Linked DNA regions of Rattus norvegicus. The protein of the gene in region 3 purifies or fractionates together with the protein of the main gene of each other region. This does not show direct contact. Links are inferred from orthologs where the notes say so. Each region holds a gene or a part of one and is shown on either strand. Other genes may lie near its edges. The genes, in order: Mcm8, Mcm2 and Mcmbp.

Evidence for each region.
Region 1: the proteins of Mcmbp (region 3) and Mcm8 purify together in Homo sapiens (co-immunoprecipitation; 3 studies listed by BioGRID and IntAct, with this or other methods). This does not show direct contact. The link is inferred for Rattus norvegicus from reciprocal best matches to the Homo sapiens genes MCMBP and MCM8.
Region 2: the proteins of Mcmbp (region 3) and Mcm2 purify together in Homo sapiens (co-immunoprecipitation; 6 studies listed by BioGRID and IntAct, with this or other methods). This does not show direct contact. The link is inferred for Rattus norvegicus from reciprocal best matches to the Homo sapiens genes MCMBP and MCM2.

The regions. Positions count from the first base shown.
Region 1 is NC_086021.1:140,565,644-140,571,917, forward strand, and holds the end of Mcm8 (DNA helicase MCM8), read left to right. Parts: coding exon 1-77; intron 78-2,846; coding exon 2,847-3,036; intron 3,037-3,712; coding exon 3,713-3,805; 3' UTR 3,806-4,248; downstream 4,249-6,274. UniProt on the Homo sapiens protein: Component of the MCM8-MCM9 complex, a complex involved in the repair of double-stranded DNA breaks (DBSs) and DNA interstrand cross-links (ICLs) by homologous recombination (HR).
Region 2 is NC_086022.1:122,909,703-122,916,103, forward strand, and holds part of Mcm2 (DNA replication licensing factor MCM2), read right to left. Parts: intron 3,595-6,401; coding exon 3,419-3,594; intron 3,287-3,418; coding exon 3,026-3,286; intron 2,282-3,025; coding exon 2,062-2,281; intron 1,961-2,061; coding exon 1,753-1,960; intron 1-1,752. UniProt on the Homo sapiens protein: Acts as a component of the MCM2-7 complex (MCM complex) which is the replicative helicase essential for 'once per cell cycle' DNA replication initiation and elongation in eukaryotic cells.
Region 3 is NC_086019.1:192,743,438-192,750,627, forward strand, and holds the start of Mcmbp (mini-chromosome maintenance complex-binding protein), read right to left. Parts: upstream 3,945-7,190; 5' UTR 3,663-3,944; coding exon 3,605-3,662; intron 1-3,604. UniProt on the Homo sapiens protein: Associated component of the MCM complex that acts as a regulator of DNA replication.

The DNA.
Region 1 (6,274 bases), on a different chromosome or scaffold from region 3:
GCACGAGCAAGGTTAGAATTGAGAGAGGAAGCAACTAAAGAAGACGCTGAAGATATAATTGAAATTATGAAGCATAGGTAAGATCAGCACTAATGTTTTTATGTGGTGGGGGGCAGTGCATCTGCACGTGTGGACATCCAAGGACAACTTCTGGAAGTCAGTTCTTCCTTCCTCTACATGGGTCCCAGGGATTGAACTCACAGTCTTGGCAACACCTTTACCTGCGCAGTCATCTTGCTGCCCCTTGCTTAATTTTTTTAGGAATCTGTTTTTTCCCCTTCTCTTTTTCACCTCTCTTCCCAATCCTTTATCCTTCCTCCCCTCCCCTTCTCCTTTCTCTCTATCTCCTCTTTTCTCTGTCCTTTCTTCCTTCCGTTTGGTGTTTTTGTTAGGTAATACCTGTTTCTTCAAAGGCAGATGTATAGATACGAGTTTGCTTCATGTCAGAATCAGCGTGCTTTGCTAGTTCCTCTCTGCTCCTGAATAACAGTTTTATACAGTTGAATAACAAGGATTTTGCAGTCCAACTTGAGACCGCCATGGCAGGTTTTACCACGGGGGTCACAAGGTGGCTCAGCACAGTAACAGTGCCTGGCATACAAATCAGATGACTTGATGCCTGGAAACAAAGTAAATGTGGAAGGAGAGAAATAACTCCACAGAGCTGCTCTCCGATCTCACACTTGTGTTGGAGCATGTGTACACACAATTATAGTGTTCTCCAGTGCTAGTGCGGTGCATGCTAGTGGGCACTACTGTCTGCCAGATTTGACCCTGTGAAGGTGAGACTGCATAGGTCCTCCTTCTCCGACTCAAGGCCATAAACTGAGGTCAGATCAGAAGTTACAAAAAAGTCTTAGGGTCTGGCACTTATTGCTGTCCTGATCAGTAGGGGGTGGAGCTCATGATCATTTTCTCCCTTCCCCTGTAGGGAGACTTCACCTCACTTTGCTTGTGCTCACGCTTGTTCTGTGTCTGTGGCTCCTTTCCTCTGCTTATGGGCAGAAGGGCACCCTGCTGCCCCTAAGGCCTGAGCTACATCTGCTGCTTGTTTCCTGACTTCATAGGCAGTCTGTGGAAGGAGACTTTTCTCTTTAATTCAGTATGTCAGCAACAAGAGGAGAGAATTGTTTGATCTAAGTGCCTGGATTATCTGGCATTCTCAGAGATGGAGAGCCAGCTAAACACATCACATTGAGATTTGTTAGACTTACCATGCTTTCTCAGTCTATGAGAACGAGGACCTCCTCTTTTACCAGGGTCTTCCAGGGCCAGAATCATGGCTGGCACATGGTATTAAATGTCCTTCATTACTCAAAAATGTTTGCCCTTTTGCAGTTCCTATCTCTTCTGCTTCATTGAAACCATGGTTAATGTGTTATACCTATAAAATTACGTTTGCAACTGGGAAGCAGAAGACGGAGCAAGCAAAGTCTAAACCGTAACATAGTTCATCTGAGTTAGCAGAGTTAACATTTTTGGAAAGTAAACATTTTTATTTAGTAAATAGTTTCTGTTTACTAAATAACGTTTACAATCGTGAAAATATTGTAGGAAGAAGAATAGCGCTACTTCCTGAGATTAGGTTGCTGAGAGCTTTTCTACTTCGGGGAAGTCTGCCAGATAGTGTACAATTTGGTTTTCAAGTGGAAGCAAGGTAGCGTGGATTAAATTCCCAGGTGTCAGTTATTAGTGTAACATTTGGTCTTCATCGTACTTTATGCACATTTCTGTTTTAGAGTTTCTCATCTACTAAGGAACAGATCGTGACTATCAAGGTCATCCCTAAGGACTCCTTAAGCATAATGCTAGTCACTGTCAAGATCCTGAGGACTCCTTGAGGACAGTGCTGATCTGTCCTAGTGGGTGACCAGTACATATTTGATAGTTCCTGAGTAAACACTGCCTGCTAAGCTGCGAATGGGATCTTATGTCCCATTGTACAGATGGGAATCAGCAGTCGAGCTGGATTTACAGGGCAGGCAATGCCATCTGTAATGGGTATTGAAGTGTTTATTTTTGGCGTTGGGGATTTGGCTCAGTGGTAGAGCGCTTGCCTAGCAAGCACAAGGCCCTGGGTTGGTCCCCAGCTCCGAAAAAAAGATTTAAAAAAAAAAAAAGAAGTGTTTATTTTTAAGATTTCTTTATGGGTGTGGGCATTTTGCCTGCACAGTGCCCTCAAGAGGCCAGAATAGAGGATGAAATCCCATGGAGTTGTGGGTGCTTTTAAACCCCAGTCCTCTGCAAGAGCAGTCTGTGATCTAAACTATGGAGCTGTTTCTCCAGCCCTCCTAGTGTTTTAAACATCTTTTCTTTGTAGATGCTGTGGTAGGAAATAATAACACACCCTTACCTAGGAAACCTCAAAATATTGTGTTCAGAAATTTTAGTTTTATAAATCAGAAACGATGTTTTTGGTTAAGTTTAAGTTTTTGGTTAAATGTTTTTGGTTTCAACTCTACAGTTTACATTTCATATTTACAAATTTGTTTTGGTGTTTTGAGATAGGATCCCTCCCTCCACATCCCTAACTGGCCTGGTACTTGATGTATTTCGGCTATCTTTAAACTCAAGGGAGTTCTTACGCCTTAGCTCCTGAGTACTGAGATTACAGGCATTTACTCCTACTCCTGGCAAAAGTTTTTGGTTGTGGTTTTGTTCTTTTAAAAAAAATCAGTAATTGTGTTCAAACTACTTTCATGTCAATCTATATAATAATGGATTTAAAGTAGCCAAGTCTCACAGCCACTCCCAGACTTCTATTACGAATTGGAAACCCAGCCCAAAAATTTCTGTAGCCCTGCCATGTGAGATAATCAGCTAATCCTTTCTTTTCCATCTTTAAGCATGCTAGGAACTTACTCAGATGAATTTGGAAACCTGGACTTTGAGCGATCCCAGCATGGCTCTGGAATGAGCAACAGGTCAACAGCTAAAAGATTTATTTCTGCTCTCAACAGCATTGCTGAAAGAACGTATAACAACATATTTCAATTTCATCAACTTCGTCAGATTGCTAAAGAGCTAAACATTCAGGTAGGATGACCTAAATACTGAGGTCAGTGTCAGAGGGTTCTCCTTAATACAACAAAACTGCTTGTTTTGCTTTGTTTTGTTTTTCTAGCCATTTTCTCTGTGTAGCCCTGGCTGTCCTGGAACTCTGCATACCAGGCTGGCCTTGAACTCAGAGATCTGTCTGCCTCTGTCTCTTGAGCGCTAGGAATAAAGGCAAGCATATCCAGGCCTGAGAACAAAATCGCATTTTAGTTTTGAGATTTTGTTACCTCTTCCCAAAGGTTTTGGCATTTCAGTTGAGGACTTTTTTTAAAAGCAATACTGGTGCTCTGTCTATTCTGGAGCGTCCTGTGGCTGCTCATCGTGATGGCTCCTGTCTCATTTGGTGAATGGACGTGATCCCTGCTGCTCCTACTTTGGAGCTCTAGTGGAGCCACAGAGCTGCACGTTAATATGGCAAGTAGTTGAGGTGTAAGATCACGCACTTTCAGACGCTAGTCCAAAGCTAGTCTTAGCTGAGGTTGGGCTCTTAGTAAAGACAGAGGGTTCTTTATTTAATGGTGTGCTACACGAAGCACACGCTGTTTTTTGTTTATTTGCCCGAGAAGCTTGCTGGGTAACTGTCTCTGTAGAGACTGATGTGGAAGTCATATTTGGCATGTTACTGAGTGCGCTGACTCTTAACGTTTGCTTTTAGGTTGCTGACTTTGAAAACTTCATTGGATCACTGAATGACCAGGGTTATCTCCTGAAAAAAGGCCCAAAGATTTATCAACTTCAAACTATGTGAAAGACTTTCCTATGTCAGGGCCTCCTGTAGTTCAAAAAATTTCAGAATCATCTTAAATATAAAACTGAAAATAAAAGTTCTGAAAAATGACACAACTCATAACAGAAAAAAAGGTATATCCATAATTTACCAGAAGAATACGAAGAGTAAATTATTTCCACTATTTTATCTAAATAACATAAGCATTATTTATGCTTTTGGCTTATATTTTTATTAGTGCTTTTTAGTTTTGTATATCAGATGTCTAGCAGGCATTCAGATAATATATAAATTAGTATGTGTTTAAGTTTTATTTAAAACATTAAACTTTGAATCTCACAAATTGTTAAGGTCACAAAAACTCTTCATTTGTTTCTAACTTTATGGTTATGGGCAGTGGGTCTGACTTGGCTTCTTATTTGAAAGTGGTGGAAACTTATTGACTTAATTAGAAGTCTTTTCTGAGAAGTATTGTTTGCAGAATTGTTTGAATGCTGATGATTTAAAAAAAAAAACAAAAAAACCTTCCCGGGGTTGGGGATTTAGCTCAGTGGTGGGGGGGGGGGGGACAATGCCATTCCTGTAGCTGGAAGTCTCTGCAGAAGGTGAAGGAATGTCGCCTGCACCAGAGCAGCTGCAAGACGCACTCTTCATCCGGCCTCCTCATGCGGCCTCCTCATGCTGCAAGTTCAAAAGAGAAAGCACATGAAGAAGCATGGGTTTGAAACGCTGGATTACAGGCTGGGAAGTTTCCATGAAATCAGAATTCACCATATTTTTGTGAGTCTTCAAATGGAACTGGACCTCTTGCCAAAGCATTCCTTGTATATATAGCCAACAAACACTTTAGCATTTAAGATCCACGGATTGGAAATTAGTCACTTAACTTCCAAGAAACTGGTAGATGAAAAGCTAAAAAACAAAATACCCAAAAGCTGAGTTGGAGAGATGGCTCATTTGGTGAAGTCTGAGGATCTAAACTCAGATTCTCTTATAAAAAGCTAAGGATGCTTCATTTGTAATGGAATGCTGGGTGGGGGTAGGAGAAAGGCAGTTCCCTGAGGCTCACTGGCCAACCTGACTGAACTGGGGAAGTCACGCAGCATCAGCCTCTGCCCCCAACACTTACACACGTACAAAAGCAGTGTGCATTGAGTAACCAAAATTAAACAAATGCTAATTATTTTACGAATGTGTAACTGATATTCAGTCTGTCCCATCAGTCCATGATGAGAGAAAGATGGGCCTATCACACCACTGTATTAAAGGCTAAGACTACACACAAGGGAATCTAACCCTAATTATGAACAGAAACTGACTTTGTTTTTGTTTTTGAGAAGTTTCCCTCTATGTAGCTCTGGCTGTTGTGGAACTCAGAGATCCGTCTGCCTCTGCCTCCCAAGTGCTGGGATTAAAGCTGTGCACCACCAACTCCCGAATTTTCCTTTATTCCTTTTCTCTTTCTTTCATGCCATTGCCTGGATTTTTCTTTTTCTCTTTTTTCTTTTCTTTTTTTTAAATTGAAACAATCCCAGGCTGGCCTTAACTTCCCATATAGCCTAGCCCTCCGCCTCTGGATTTCCTGTATGCTAGAAAAGAACTCTGCCAGCTGAGCCATACCCCAGCTGAGTGTTCCCTTAGAGTCTGTATCTGTTTGCTTTGGTATCTGCTGTCGCAGGGCTAGACTGACAGCTGAAGCTGTTCCCTTTTCCTCAGAGCCAGCATTTTTAACTCCAAAAAATTACATACTCTCCAACTCAGACCTCGTCTGTGTCTCATCTGCTCAGCACACCAGCATCTCCCCATAAAGGCTCTGGCCTCTGGCTTGCTTTTTCTTCCTTTTTCCCACTTCTCACAGGATGATCCAAAGTTTGCCTATGTCTGAGAAACACATGAGTAGTTCGAATGGTTATTTTAAAATTTAAAAAAGTGTTTTACATTTTCTTTTAATGTATATAGATTTTTAAATTTTTTATTTTATTTTTTTGTTTTTGCAGACAGGGTTCTCCAGGCAGCCTTTGGTTGTCCTGGAACTCTCTGTAGACCAGGCTGGCTGGACTCAGACTCACAGAAATCCACTTGCTTTGGCCTCCTAAGTGCTGGGATTAAAAACATTTGTTACCACTCAAAAATTTTAATATATATGGATTTTTAAAATTTTCCTTATTTTTTAATGTTTTGCCTGAATGTGTATCTGTGTGCCACATGTGTGCCTGGTTCCCTCTCTGTGCCTGGAAGGCAGAAGAGGGCATCAGATTCCTAGGAACTGGTGTACAAGAAATTAAAGACAGTTGGACCTCCCAGCACTTGGGAGGCAGTTAGGCAGATCTCCCAATGCAACCCAACTTGCTGTACAAATCAAGGTCCAGGACAGTCAGAGCCACACAAAGATCCCCTCTCAAAAACAAAACAAAAACAAAGATGAACCTGATGAAATGCTCCTTAAATCTACAATCATCAAGTGTAGTTTGGGCTTTACGAACAACTTTC
Region 2 (6,401 bases), on a different chromosome or scaffold from region 3:
GCACAGGATAGAGAAGATCATGGTTCCTACACAGCCAACCGCTCTCCTCCAAGCACAGTTTCCCCATGTGCTCTGACCTTACTGCAGGCCACAATCGCCACAGGGACCGACCAAAGGACAGGCCAAGCATGACTCAGGAAGTCTCATCACTGCCACGTCCCTAGGCAGTGTCTTCCTCCTCCTCGGCTCCAGCATCTGTTCTGTGCCCCAGAGCCTAGATTCAAGTGTGTCCACAGTTGGCCGAAGGGGATGCTGGGCTTTAAGCATGACCTTATGAGGGTCGAGCTGGGCTATGGGTATGCAGCACCCACAAGCAGCAGACCACATGGTAGAGCTGTGCTATGTCCCATAACATCCCACTAGTTCATTTACTATCCAAAAAGGAGACAACATACTACAGCCTGGGCTGCAAATGTCCCCCATGGCCTATTTGTAGGGCACTGATTCTTCAGTCCACGTATGAGAGACGATGGAGCCTTGTGGGAGGCCTTAGGTCATAGAGGTACACCCCTGCAGGGGACTGAAGCATCCTGGCTAGTCTCTTGTTCTCTTCTGTGTCTCCTATGTGAGGTGAGCAGTTTGCTGTACTGCACACCATCACGGCTACACACAGGCCCAAAGCCGCAGGGTCAACTGACCCCGAACGCCAACTCTAAAACCAAGCCATAAATCAGCTTTCCTCCTTCAAGTCAATGACGCTAGGGGTTTAGTTACAGGAACCCAGAGCTGACTGATCCACAGGACACAGTGGCTAAAAGAGCACAGTATCAGGTCATGGTGGTGTACACCTTTAAGCCCGGAGTTCCAGAGGTAACGTTAGGTAGATGTCTGTGAACTTTAGGCTAGTCATGGTTACAGTGAGCCCCTGTCCGGATAGAAGAAGCACACAGTCACATCTACATGCTCGCCTGTTCCTCAGGACACTGCAGCACGGGAGACTTTAGACAATCAAGCCTCCAAACACCTGTTTTTACATGAGAAGAGAGCCGTGGAACCTCCCTCCCAGAACATAATCAAGACAAAGACCCAAGGAACACTCCTGGCAGCCAGCAAGGCCAGCACACACTTGACCCCACTTGTTAATTCCTGTTGTACAGCTCAGTGTCCTGGGGCCAAAGTCCAAGGTGGGGCTGCAAAGGACAAAGGGATACAGCTAAGTGCAGCCTTGGAGCTGGGTCACCCAGGTTAAAGCAGAGCTGGGCTTGAACACCGTCATGGGCAACCTCCTGGCCAGGCAGCTCTAAACTAGACAGCTCAGAACCACAGAAAGCATCATGAGTGCTAACACTCCCAGAGCCAGGCAGCAGTGGGGGAGAGGTAGGGGCAGCTGCAGATGAAGACAAGTACAAAGGCATCCATGCTGGCCCCAGGATTTCAGAGTCAGGAGGTACACAGTCTCCCAAGCAAGGCTCTGCAGGATCCAAGGTGGTATAACCCTGGATACACCCACAAATCACGAGGAGCCAGTCAGGCCCACCAAATGAGACGACAGACGGTCCAAGTGCCCATGTGATAGGCATGTAGGTGCTCTACTGGGGTGGACAGGTCTAAGTGGCCCTGTTTGCCACTATCTTTAGAGATCACTAATGTGGATACACTGAACATCACCTAGTTTCAAATATGCTGAATTACTGAAGACATGGGGTCAATCTACTTCGTGCTGCCATGTTTAACTGCCTCAAAGTCTTCTGGCCCTGTAGATGGCCCAGGCCTTGCATACTGAAGACAGTGTGGCAGGTCTGTGCTACTCACCTCCTCCATGTTGATCTCAAAGGGCCCAGTTGACTGGCACTCAGGGCAGGAACCAGGCTTCACCTCCTGGTTCTGAGACTGGCAGAAAGGCCCCAGTATAAAGTTGCACTTGCTACAGTTATACTTGACCATGCTGAGCTGGGGCAGGACTCCAGTGCAGCTGGTCACCACACCGCTGGTACGGATGAGCTGGTTCAGGTGTAGCTGCCTGTGTTGAGAGGTAACAAGCACGTCAGAGGCATCGGGAGGCTATGGGACCACTTCCTTCACCACTCTCTGGATGAGGCCCCGCTCTCCCACACTGCTCACCTCAGTGAACGCAGCTCCTCCACCAGAGGCAGGTGGGAGATGCGCACGTGAATGTGGTTGGTGATGCGGTCATATTTAGGGTACATGGCCAGCACAACCTCCAGGGCAGCCTCATCGAAGATCTGCAGCAGCTCAGCGGGTGCCTCGGGTAGGAAGTATGCCAACACATGTTCCCGGGCTGCCAGGTCTTCATAATTTACCACCAAACTCTCCCGGTTCTCTGAGGAGGATAGTGGATGGGACAGATGACATAGCCAGGGGCCATGAAGGTGTCTAACATCTTAGAACCCTGCTGGCCAAACCCCTCTACCCAAAACAAACCTGAGAGGGACAGAAATTCCAGTTTACACCCTAGACCCACTACCTGTGGCTGTGCAATAGAGACCCAAGTGATAATATTAACAGCACACAGATCTCTGGGGATGTCATTTCCAGGAGAAATAGAGAGCCCTCAGGCTACAGAGCAGAGTGCCAGAGGCCAAGGAGAAGCTACTGTCATTGCTGGAGGGGCTGCCACAGCCCCAAGCTGTTGTACCCTGTAAAGCCAATGCTGTCATGTAGAAACGCTCCCACTTTTGGATCAAAGTTGTAAAGCACAGGCTGGGGAGTGGTTCAGTGGGAGAACACTTGCTAGGCCCTGGGTTCAACCTGACTGCAAAACCCAACCAATCAACCGAACCAAACCAAACAAAGAAATAAGCCCTCCAAAAAACAAAACAGGGTAGTAATACATTTTTAAGCACATCTTCAAACAGCCTAGCTCTGGTGCAGATGCAGGAAACCTTGGGTTCCGCAGGTTCTGTCCTTGCAACCAAATGTTTCTGTCCATTATGTGGCTCAGTGTGGTACAACAAAGCCAGCAGGATACAGAAGCCAGGCCACCTTCACCCTTTACTGCTGAGACTGAACCAGGACCTCACTCATGGTGAGTGCTACACCTCACCCCAGACTATCAGGAACATACCTTTGCACATATCACTGATACGCTCCTTGAAGACGTTGTGGCCATGGCTGTCCACGTGGGTGCGCAAGAAGTTCTTGAAACGGTGGTGGATCTCCAGTCTGGGCCCTGCCATGCTCACCCACTCTCGCACCGAGTGGCCCTTGAGGTCCTCCAGGTTCTCAATACTCTCAATCATCTCTTCATCCTCCTCGCCATCCTCTGTGGCACGCTCTATGTGGCGGCGCTTACGGGCAGGCCGCTCCTCATCTTCTTCGTCGCTGTCTTGGGTAGTAGCAAGGAACTCCTGTGAGCAAGTCTCTCCCAGCATCCTTTGCACACTTGCCACCCATGTCTTCCCCACTCCCGAGGCTTTGGTGGTCCAAGTGGCACCTATGGGATGCCCTCCACACATACCATACAGCAGCCCACGACGCATGCGACCCAGGCCTCTGCCAGCCTCACGGTCCCGCTGCCTCATAGCCCGCTCAGCTGCCTCCCTCTGACTGGCTGTCAGCTCCTCCACATCTTCATCATCCAGGGCCAATCCCTCTGCCTCGTAGACATCGAGCTCGGGAATGGGACGGTAGTCTCTGCAAGAGGCCAGCAGTGGACAATGAATCCTCAAACAACCCACCTGAGAATTAGTTCTGCTCCACAGGCTTTGCTGGACAGCTGCAAACAGGAAGTTGAAATGTTCAAGAATATGATTTAGGGACTCCATCAAGGAGGCATAAATCAATAGGATGGAAAAGGGGGTCCATCTGTATGCATGAGGTACACGTGAGTCTGGGCAGGAGAGCAAGCCCCACATCCACAGCGCCACCTGCTGGTGATATGTGATGGCTGCAGCCAATGCTTCCCCTATATGCAGTCTCCCAACCTAACCTGCTCGAGAGAATTACCAACAAAGTATCAAATAAGGTCATTTTTACAGTCACCAATTGGCACCATTTTCATCAGAAACAAGAAAGCATGAAAACTGTCACAGTCAGGGAGGAAATGGGGGACTCAGAACACAGGTCAGAAAGTACAAAAACTTAATAAATGCAATAGAATTCTTTGGATAACTAAAGTGGGAAAATCTCTAGAATTTCAGGACACCGATGGAAATATGAAAGGTACTAACTGGTTAACCAGGTCTTCTCTCAACAGTGTGAACACATCTGGGGCTAGAGATGGTTCAGGGGTTGAAAGAGCAATGTACTACTCCCTGTGTAGCTGTGGCTGTCTTGGAACTCAAGAGATCTATCTGTCTCTGCCTCCCAAGTGCTGGGATTAAAGCTGTGTGTGTGCCACGGCACCTACTTCACAAACTGCTCTTGCTGAGAGAATAAGAATCCAATTCCCAGCACCCATACTGGGCACCTGCACCTCAAATGTATGTACTACAGATACACCCACATATAACTTTTTAAATTAAACAACAACCATTTTAACTGGGTCTAGTAGCCTTACTTCCAGGAGCCAGGAGGCCATCAGGCAGATCTGAGAGTTTGAGGTCAGTCAAGGCAAACTTTAAAGGAGTTAGCGGTAACATCCCAGGGTGATCAGTGGACAAACCCACAGGGTAGATTATCACTCAACCTTAAAACAGAAGGGGAATCTGACAGGTGAACCTGCATGGATGAATCTCGACGACGTTTCACCAATGGATTAAGCCATACAACTCCTATGGGATCCTGAGGGGTCAGACCCAAATGGGGACAGGAAGTCAGTATTCTGGGGGAAGATTCAGTTTTGAGACAATAAAAAGTTCTGGAGGACTGAGGCAGATGAATGCCACTGAGCCACACACTAAAAATGGAGAAACACTTTGCTGTGCATTTAATTGAGGGGGCTGGGCTGGAGAGAAGGCTCAGTAGGACCCGAGTTCCCAGCTCTCAGTTCAGATAGCTCATAAACCAACCTGTAGAACTCCAACTTCAGGTGGGGGATCTGACACTTTCTTCTGGCTTCTGCGGCCACCTATACACCCATGTGCATAAACTCCAGACACTCAAGGACACACACTTTTCTTTTTCTTTTTTTATATGGGGGATCTCCAAAGAGCTCCTAACTCCCGATAAGAAAATGGAAGTAGGGGCTGGAGACATGGCTCAGTAAAGAGCAATGGCTGCTCTTCAGGAAGAACTGGGTTCAATTCCCAGCTCACAACTGTCTGTAACTCCAGTTCCAGGGGACCCAACACCCTCACACAGATATATGTGCAGGTAAATAAAACCACCAACGCACATAAAGTAAACAAATCATTTTTTAAAATTTAAAAAGAAAATGAAATGGAATTAGAGGGTGCCAAGACCCTGACACCAGTAAGGTCAGAGAGCAGATCCCAGTGTGTCCCAGGATGACACCCTCCCTATGCCTTCTCCCCAACTGAACACAACCCAGACAGACAGGCTGCCTGAAAAGCTCTCGCCCAGTGGCTCAAGTCTGAGCAGTCTCTTTCCAGGTGACCGCGTGTTTGGTCCTTGAAAGGAAGCATCATCTAACGGAGGGCCAAGCCCAGCTTCCCTACGGTGCCCGATTTTATAGTCGATCATCAGGACTAAGGGACAAGTGCAGTGCAACAGGCTGCAAGCTCCTTCCTCAGTGCCACAGGCCTCCCCACAGAAGCAGGGACCTACTAGGGAAACAGACCCCTGGAGCTCTCCCTTTCTCAGAGTGACTGGCTAATGTTCTCAAACTACCCTCTCAAAACAAACAATTTCAAAACCGCCAAAGGCGAGGCAAAGCAGGCAGACATGCCGACTAGTTCTGTGCAGAAAGTAATAGTTTCTGAGAAGAGTGTGTTCTGATCCTTAGAGGATCCCAGTTACCTGAAGCACACTCAGTGAGGTTCTAGTTAGCCTACACTGAAGCCCATAAACCACACAATCTGGGTTTCATCAAATTTCAACTCCAGCAAGCCGTCCTCTGACCTCCACAAGCATACCATGGCACATGCACCCACACACAAACACAGTGAGTCATGCAATTAAATATTAAAAAAATAAGACATTAAAAAAAAATGACTGGCTGCTCTTGCAGAAGACCTGGGTTCAGTTTTCACATCCACATAGTAGCAACCTCATTAACACGTTTAATGGGGCCTGACGCCCTCTTCTGGTCTCTGCAGGCATAGGTATGCATGTGGTCAAACACTCAAATCATTTAAAAAAAAAAAAAAAAAGACTTTACTTTGAAGACACCGCAGAGTGAAATGTTGGCACAAAAGGATGAACACAGTGATTCCAGCCCTAGTAATATGATTAGAACTGGGATCAACAGGCAGAAGAGACCACAGTGGGGGTGATAAAAATGGTGCTCAGAAAGCATGCATGGACCATCCCTGTGCTGTATATATAAGGATAAGGCTTATATATAGAAATTAGCCTCTTTCCATACAAAGTCAGATAGT
Region 3 (7,190 bases):
CTTAAAAAAATAGAAAAATCAAACAAAAGGAGTTTCATTCAACGGGAGAACATATAATAACTAACTTAGCAGATCTGTATTGGCCTTGTAACCACATGTTAGTTCTTATTTATAGCTTAAATACTCACACATTTTGCCATGGCTGTTCAATTCAGGTTTCTTTGAAAACCTCCTCAATGGCCATGACTGTCCTACACAACAACCCTCATGGCCATCAGAGGTAGCTAATCATGAGATGACAGTAGATTTTCTACCCCTAGAATTTGGGATGAGGTATGTGCTGGCACTGAGGACAAGTGAGTTTGATACGGAAGAGAAAAACTGCAAGTTAACACACAGAGCCGAGTGTCCTCCTGCTTCTCTTAGTCCTAGAACGCAGTTCCTCAAAACACCCAGGCCCTTTCCCTGGGCTCTAGTCTTACCATAAATTACTCTTTAGCACCTATCAAGAGCCGGGCAGTAGGTGAAGAGCTCCACACTGGGTGCACACAAGACAGTGGACTGATGACAAGAACAGAGCAGCTTCCGCTGATCTCATTACTGCTTTGAACTTTTGAAAACACTAGTGATTAGTCTCAGACTTCCTCCTTCAGACGCTGGCCAGCCTCATCCATTAGAATGAACCAAGGAACCCAACTAAGCCAAAACTGAAACACCTAAAATGAAGAGGCAGCTGTTACAAGCTACCTGGAATCAAGAGCAGTTACGTGGCCAGTGGGACGGCTGAGTGAGAGAGCGAGCGAGCAGGCGTGTGTGTGTGTGTGTGTGTGTGTGTGTGTGTGTGTGTGTGTGTGTGTGTGTGTGTGTTGTTTGTTATGGGTACGACTAGTGGCCCATCTCCTACTGGTGGTCCCAGCTACTTAGAAGCTAAAGGAGGGTCACTTGAACCCAGGAAGTGGTGGATGCCAGCCTAGGTAAAATGACAAGAGCTTAAGTCAAAGTGGGTAGTAATTCAAATTATTCATATGGGGTGGGGGTAAGCACAGTGAGACGTGGATGTGAGCCCAGCACTTGGAAAGTAGGGGCATGTTTGATTAGGGAGCTGGAGGCCAACCTGAGCCACATCAAACAGTCTCAGCCAAACAAGGAAACAAACGAAAATAAGAGGAAAATTAAGAGTAAAAAGTGTATCCTAGCACCCACAGGAAAAGAGCTCACAAGGGCCTATAACTTCTGGTATCCAAGGGCCCCTGTCCATGTCCATGTATCCTCAGAGAAAAGCACAAGTAGATATAAAAACACCTCAGAAGACATACCGATGAAAGCCAGAAGAGACAGTACATGCCTGTAATCCCAGAATTTAGAGGCTCAAGCCCAGCCTGGGCTATACAGTGTACAGGGCATCAGAGGAGGAAAAAGGTGTAGGTCAGGTACTGAGGTCATAACATACTCAGGTCAACACAACTACAGTGATATTTACTAGTAATCTCCACACACCAAGAGGCTGAGGTGGAAAATGGAGAATTCAAGGGCAACCTGGGGTTACTTATAAAATTAAAACCCAAACAGGGAAAGTCTCTAGAAGCAGCCGGAAGCCACTGGTTGTAGCATATAAGTGCAAGAGACTTGGAAGCTGTTGCAGAAGTCTAAAACATGACTACAAGGTCCTGGGCTATGGCAGCAGTGTTGAAGATGAAGATATCTGACAGGGTCAAGAGATATTTAATATCTGAAGCCGATGCAACACTTGGAGGGACGCTTGGTGTGGAGCCAGTAAGACCATCTTCAGGGATGGACTATGTACCTGCCTGCCTGTACTGGGTTCAATCCCCAGTACCAAAACCGAAAATCAAACACAGACCAAAGTCTCCAACTTTTCATACAGCAACTTCAATACTCTTATCATAAAGGTGCCCAACGGAATGACAGCCACAGGAAAACACAGTGGAAATACAGAGCAGGGCAGATTACACTTAAGAGCCATTCAGAGGGCAACAATGACCTTTCCACAACATTCCACAAGATTTAGAAAATACTACAGTACTTGTAATCAAGTTCTGTGTTTTCCTGTACAATAAAGAGGTGTGATACCTTAGGATCACACTTAAGGAACGAAACGCGACAACGATATATCCAATCTGTATTGCATTTAAAACCACGTCATTCCTACAGCAAGACCAGGGTACTGGGATATTTCTCACAAATGGAGATTCTGGCTGGGCAAGTGGCACAGGCACACTCCAAAGGATGAGGCAGGAGGACTTCCATGAGACCAGATCAGGTTAGAGATCTGCCTCAAAGTAAAGGATAAGGAATTCTGGGGGTCGGTCATTGGAACTTTACCCTGTAAGTCCCAAACCTTTAACTACGGGGAGCTTTTCCTTCGAATGTATCTACACATTTGCACTTTCAGCCAGTCCAGAACTGAATCTTGGCTGGGCTAATCTGTTATTAGTCTCAACTGTTGACTGCAGTATTCTGAACTTCAATTACTAGCACTTGGTGAAGGGACATAGGACCCTTTTTCTCTTTTTAGAGACAGAGCTGTCTTCCAGGTGACAGAATGACAGGTAAGCTGCTTATACACACACACCCCTTGAAAACCACCCTAGATTGCTAGGTATGGATCTAGCTTCTCTCCACCTGCACTACACTCAGACCATCATCAGGCCAGGCATGCATTCTACTACTGAGCTATAATATCCCAAGCCCATGTTTTACTCTTTCGTGGGCTTGCACATCCCTGCTCCTCTTTATCAGACTGTGTGTTCACTGGCTATAATCTTAAGGTCTACCCAGTCCTTTTATCTACCGGGTTTAGTTTCACCCTGGGAAACTACCTGAGTAGTTAGAATTCTAGGTAAAATGAATCGGATCCTGTGGGAGCATTAGTACAGAAAACACATTCCACGGAGACTGGTGGCTCCGGCCAGTCATTAAGCGCACCGAAATCAGGGATTCGAATGGGAATTGGAGGTCCAGTAAAGCAAAAAAAAAAAAAAAAAAAAAAAAAAAAAAAGTAACCATGACAATTACAACTAAAATTTACTCAGCTTGCCTACAGCACTCTCGGCTCTCGTTCTGTATCAACTCATCTAAGTAGCTGAGCATTTCTAGCTAGCCCTGGTACAGGAACTAATAACAGAGCTGACGGGTTTTTAAGTCAACAGAGCAGGGGTAAAAAATGAAGCATTCTCTCGGATGTCAAGGGAGACGTGGAAACAGAATGAACTTCTGTGCGAAGGATCCAGCACTCCCCTACACACACCCCGGAAGTTTTGAAATATCCCGCAGGCTCCCACAGGCAGTGGCTTCTCTTCGCGACCGCTCTGAGGGCCCTCCGTGGGCAAGGGGACCTCTCGTGTCTGCAGGACCCGGGCTAGGTAGGCCACCAGCCGGGAGCCAGGCCGTCAATCACTGCCAGCGCTCGCAGCTGGGTCCACGCCGCCAGCGAGCCAGAGCCCGGCAGCGGGCAGGTGACGGGAGGTGGTGGCACCTGCGTCCGCGGCCCGAGTCCGCTGCTTCTGCTTGGCTGCCAGGCCCGGGGCCACGCGAGCCCTCGGCAGTGATTCTCCCGGACCGCCGTCCCGAGTGTGGCCGCGCGGCAGGCCTGGTCCCGCAAACTCCGCTCCCCTCCCGGCCCTGCTCGCCACGCGCCACTCACCGAAGAAGCCTTGCACGATCCCGAGCGGGTGGCTCAGCCAGTCTTCTCCACAGGGCATGGCGCTGAGGGCTGGGGCCAGCGCGGCCCGCGCGGCGCTTCTCTGCCGGGCGAGCGCGCTCGGAGCCCGGCTTCTCCTCGGGGGCTCAGCCGCTCCTCGTCCGCGCCCTCCCACGCGCCGGGCGTCGCGAGCCACGGGCCTCCGCGCGTCTCAAGGAGAGGTGGTTGCGGCGACGGTGACGAGTGTCTCAGAGCTGCTGTCCAGCGACCGGAGGAGGGGAGATCGTCCCAGCCTCCACTTCTCACAATGGCGGGAAATCGCGGCCACCGACCGCGCTACCAGAGACCTGGGTGGAGCTCAAGAAGGAGGGGCGGCGGGAGCGTGCTGCGCACTCCCGGAGGGGAGGGAGTGGGCGGGGCGGGCGGCCATTTTGGAGACGGGTAGAGATAGGGCAATCCCGGGGCCGCCATCTTGGAGACGGGCAGAGGAAGGCTACTGTGCTTGAGTATAGTGGTCACCGTGTTCGCGCGTTGGAGGCAAACTCCATCAGGGTGCCTCATTGGCTCAAAGTTTGAGACCTTGCACACGGACCAAAAGCCACAAGTTCAGCCAACCTCAAGAGTCATCTCTGAGCAAAATTAGGGGTTGAAACGCCATTCGGTGTCTGATCATCGGATCTCTTTGTGACTCTGGTGGTAGAACTCTTCTAAGGTGCCCTGCACAAAATCCTGTAAAAGAACTTGCCCCCAGCTCAGTGAGTTCTTCCTGAACGATTTAATCAAGGAGGCTTTGTAGCCTTGTGGGCTTCTCAATATGGCCAAGGAGCTGGCAAGCACTCAGAACTTTCTCCTAGCCCAGCCTTTAGTTTCTAACCTCAAAAACACCCAGAGCCCTTCTGCTTCCAACCTGACAACTAGGGAGCTATGGCAAGATACCTGTACAGCATACAGATCAGAATACTCTTACAGGGCGACGCAGAAGGGCAGCTCCACTGTAACCTGTAGTCTAGAGAACTTAGGAACTGTCAAGTTTTCATAAAGAAGACATTTTCCCTGTGTATGGGATGTACCTCAGAAAACCCTGGTTTCACCATCTATACCTACTTGGCTTTAAAAAGGTAGCGGTGATCTGAATAGCATCTAGATAGCTGAAGAATAAGAACTTCTCAGTGGCAGAGCACTTGCCTGGTATGCCAGAGGCACCTGGATTTAATCCCTAGCAAGGGATAAAAGAGGGAGAGATGGCAATAGATGAACAGAGGCAGCTTTGACTGAACCCAGGAATCTCTAGGGCAGAAGGGAAAGGGTACCAAACCTGCCCCTCTGCCTTTCTTGGTCCCCTGGAATGAACTTATCTTTAAATTATAGCATTTGGGATATAGGCAAGGAAGGTCAGGAGTTCACAGACAGCCTTGGCCACATACCCAATTTGAGGCCAGCCTGAGCTACATAGGACCCTGTCTCAAAAGCAAACAAACAAATAAATAAATATTAAGAGCCAAGCAGTGGTGGCACACACCTTTAATCCTAGGACGCAGGAGGCAGAGGCAGGTGAATCTGAGTTTGATGCCAGCCTGGTCTATAGAGTGAGTTTTAGGACAGCCAGGGCTACACAGAGATACCCTGTCTTGAAAAAAAAAATTAAGTTCATGAACATGTGTGCCACAAGTTTATGAACAACTGGGAAAAAGTAATTTAATATCTTAGAATTCGAGGTTATACAGCAATCATCCACAAAGAACAATAACATTGTAGAGAAATGACAGAAGAAGGTAGTTCTTAGTTCCCAAAGGCAACAAGTTGCAGGAAATCAAAACATGAGAGTTTCATGGTTAACATAGTATATAAAATCTTATATAAGTTCTTCCAGGTGATTAGCTTCTGTCTTTTCTGGTAGAAAGGGAGGGAGGAAGCCTTGAAACCCTATATCCTGCTTTTGTACAAACAGTGGGAAGGCAGGAGATTTTCTTATATGTGGTTCTGTTCAGTTGCCTTCGCTCAAGATAATCTTTATGCCAAAGTAGCATGATTTGGAATGACACCCTGGTTTGCTTTGGGATGAAAGAGGTAATTTGGACTTGGCATTTCAATCTGACTTTACGTCTGGCTTTGTGAGTTGAGAAAGCTAACAAGGCTAGGACAATGTAGTTGTTTCAATGAGAATAGTCCCCATAGGCTCAAATGTTTGAATACTTGATTCCCAGTTGGTAGAACTGTTCAGGAAGGATTAAAAGGTGTGGCTTGTTGGGGGGGGGGGAGATGTGTCATGGCGGCAGACTTAGCTTCAGAAACCTCCCACCACTCCCAGTGTGCACTCTCTGCCTTCTGTTTTCAGATCATGAGATGTCAGCTGTTCTGTCACCAGGCCTTTGCCCTGCCATCATAGACTCTAACCCTGTAAAATCATAAACCCAATTAAAATCTTTGTAAGTTTTCTTGTCATAGTATTGTATCACAACAGAAGAAAAGTAACTATGAGAGATGGTATTTCCACTTTATTCATCCATTCTTTCAGTAGAGAAAGTAGCCATGTTCTTGGAATTGAATGAGGGAAATTTCGTATTTTAGCTCTGTGCCTTATAATATACAAATTAAATCTATGTGCTGAGATTCTATCTATCTATCTATCTATCTATCTATCTATCTATCTATCTATCATCTATCCCAGGTTTCCTTGGAACTGACTATGTAGCCCAGGCTGAGCTACATCTCCAGTGCCCATCAATGGATCCTTAATTGAGAAGAGTGTAGTCATGAAGGGACCTGATTAGAAGAAGGTCACTCAGAGCATCCCCTTAAAAGGTATATCTCATTCTGTGCCCTTTTCTGTCCTTTTTCTCTTCTTGATAATTAGGTTTTTTTCTTCCTGTTGTGGTCTAAAATAAAAAAAATCATTTTTGATGTTAATTATGCAAAGTGATTGTTTTGGAATTCAGGTTTTTCTGAGGTAATCATGTATAAGGGGAGTCATCAGGAAATAGATCCCTGTGCTTATGAATTTTGTTTGTTTGTTTTTTGTTTTGTAGAGACAGGGTTTCTTATTGTATAGCTCTGGCTGTCCTGGAGCCCACTCTGTAGACCAGGCTCAAACTCACAGAGATCTGCCTGCCTCTGCCATGTGCTGGGATTAAAGACGTGTGACAGCACAGCAGGGCTGGACCTCTGGGATCCCTGCACTCAGGAGGCTTGAGGTACTAGTTTTCAGGCTTCAGTTTTAGTTTTCCTTTTCAGGGAATCTTTTTATTAGGGTTTTTTATTTTTTATTTTTTGCTAATGATCTGATGAAGAGCTACATGCTCCCTCTCCTAGAATGTTTAGATCTCTGTCCTCTGAAGTCAGTATTCTAGGAAGCACATTTAAGGAAAGCTTGCAGTTTATTATTACTTTGTTTAGTTGATTGTTTTGCCAGATTGTAAACTCCCGAAGGGAAGGATTTCGGGTCTGTTTCATACATCACTCTCTGGTATACGGTTCTCAGCCTTGCTTATTTATAATAAAGACAAGATAATTTTCCTGACCAACTTCTAGTCTAGCATGGTTCCTAGCAGTTTAAGGCCATGTTATATGACTCACCAGTAGTGTCCCCACT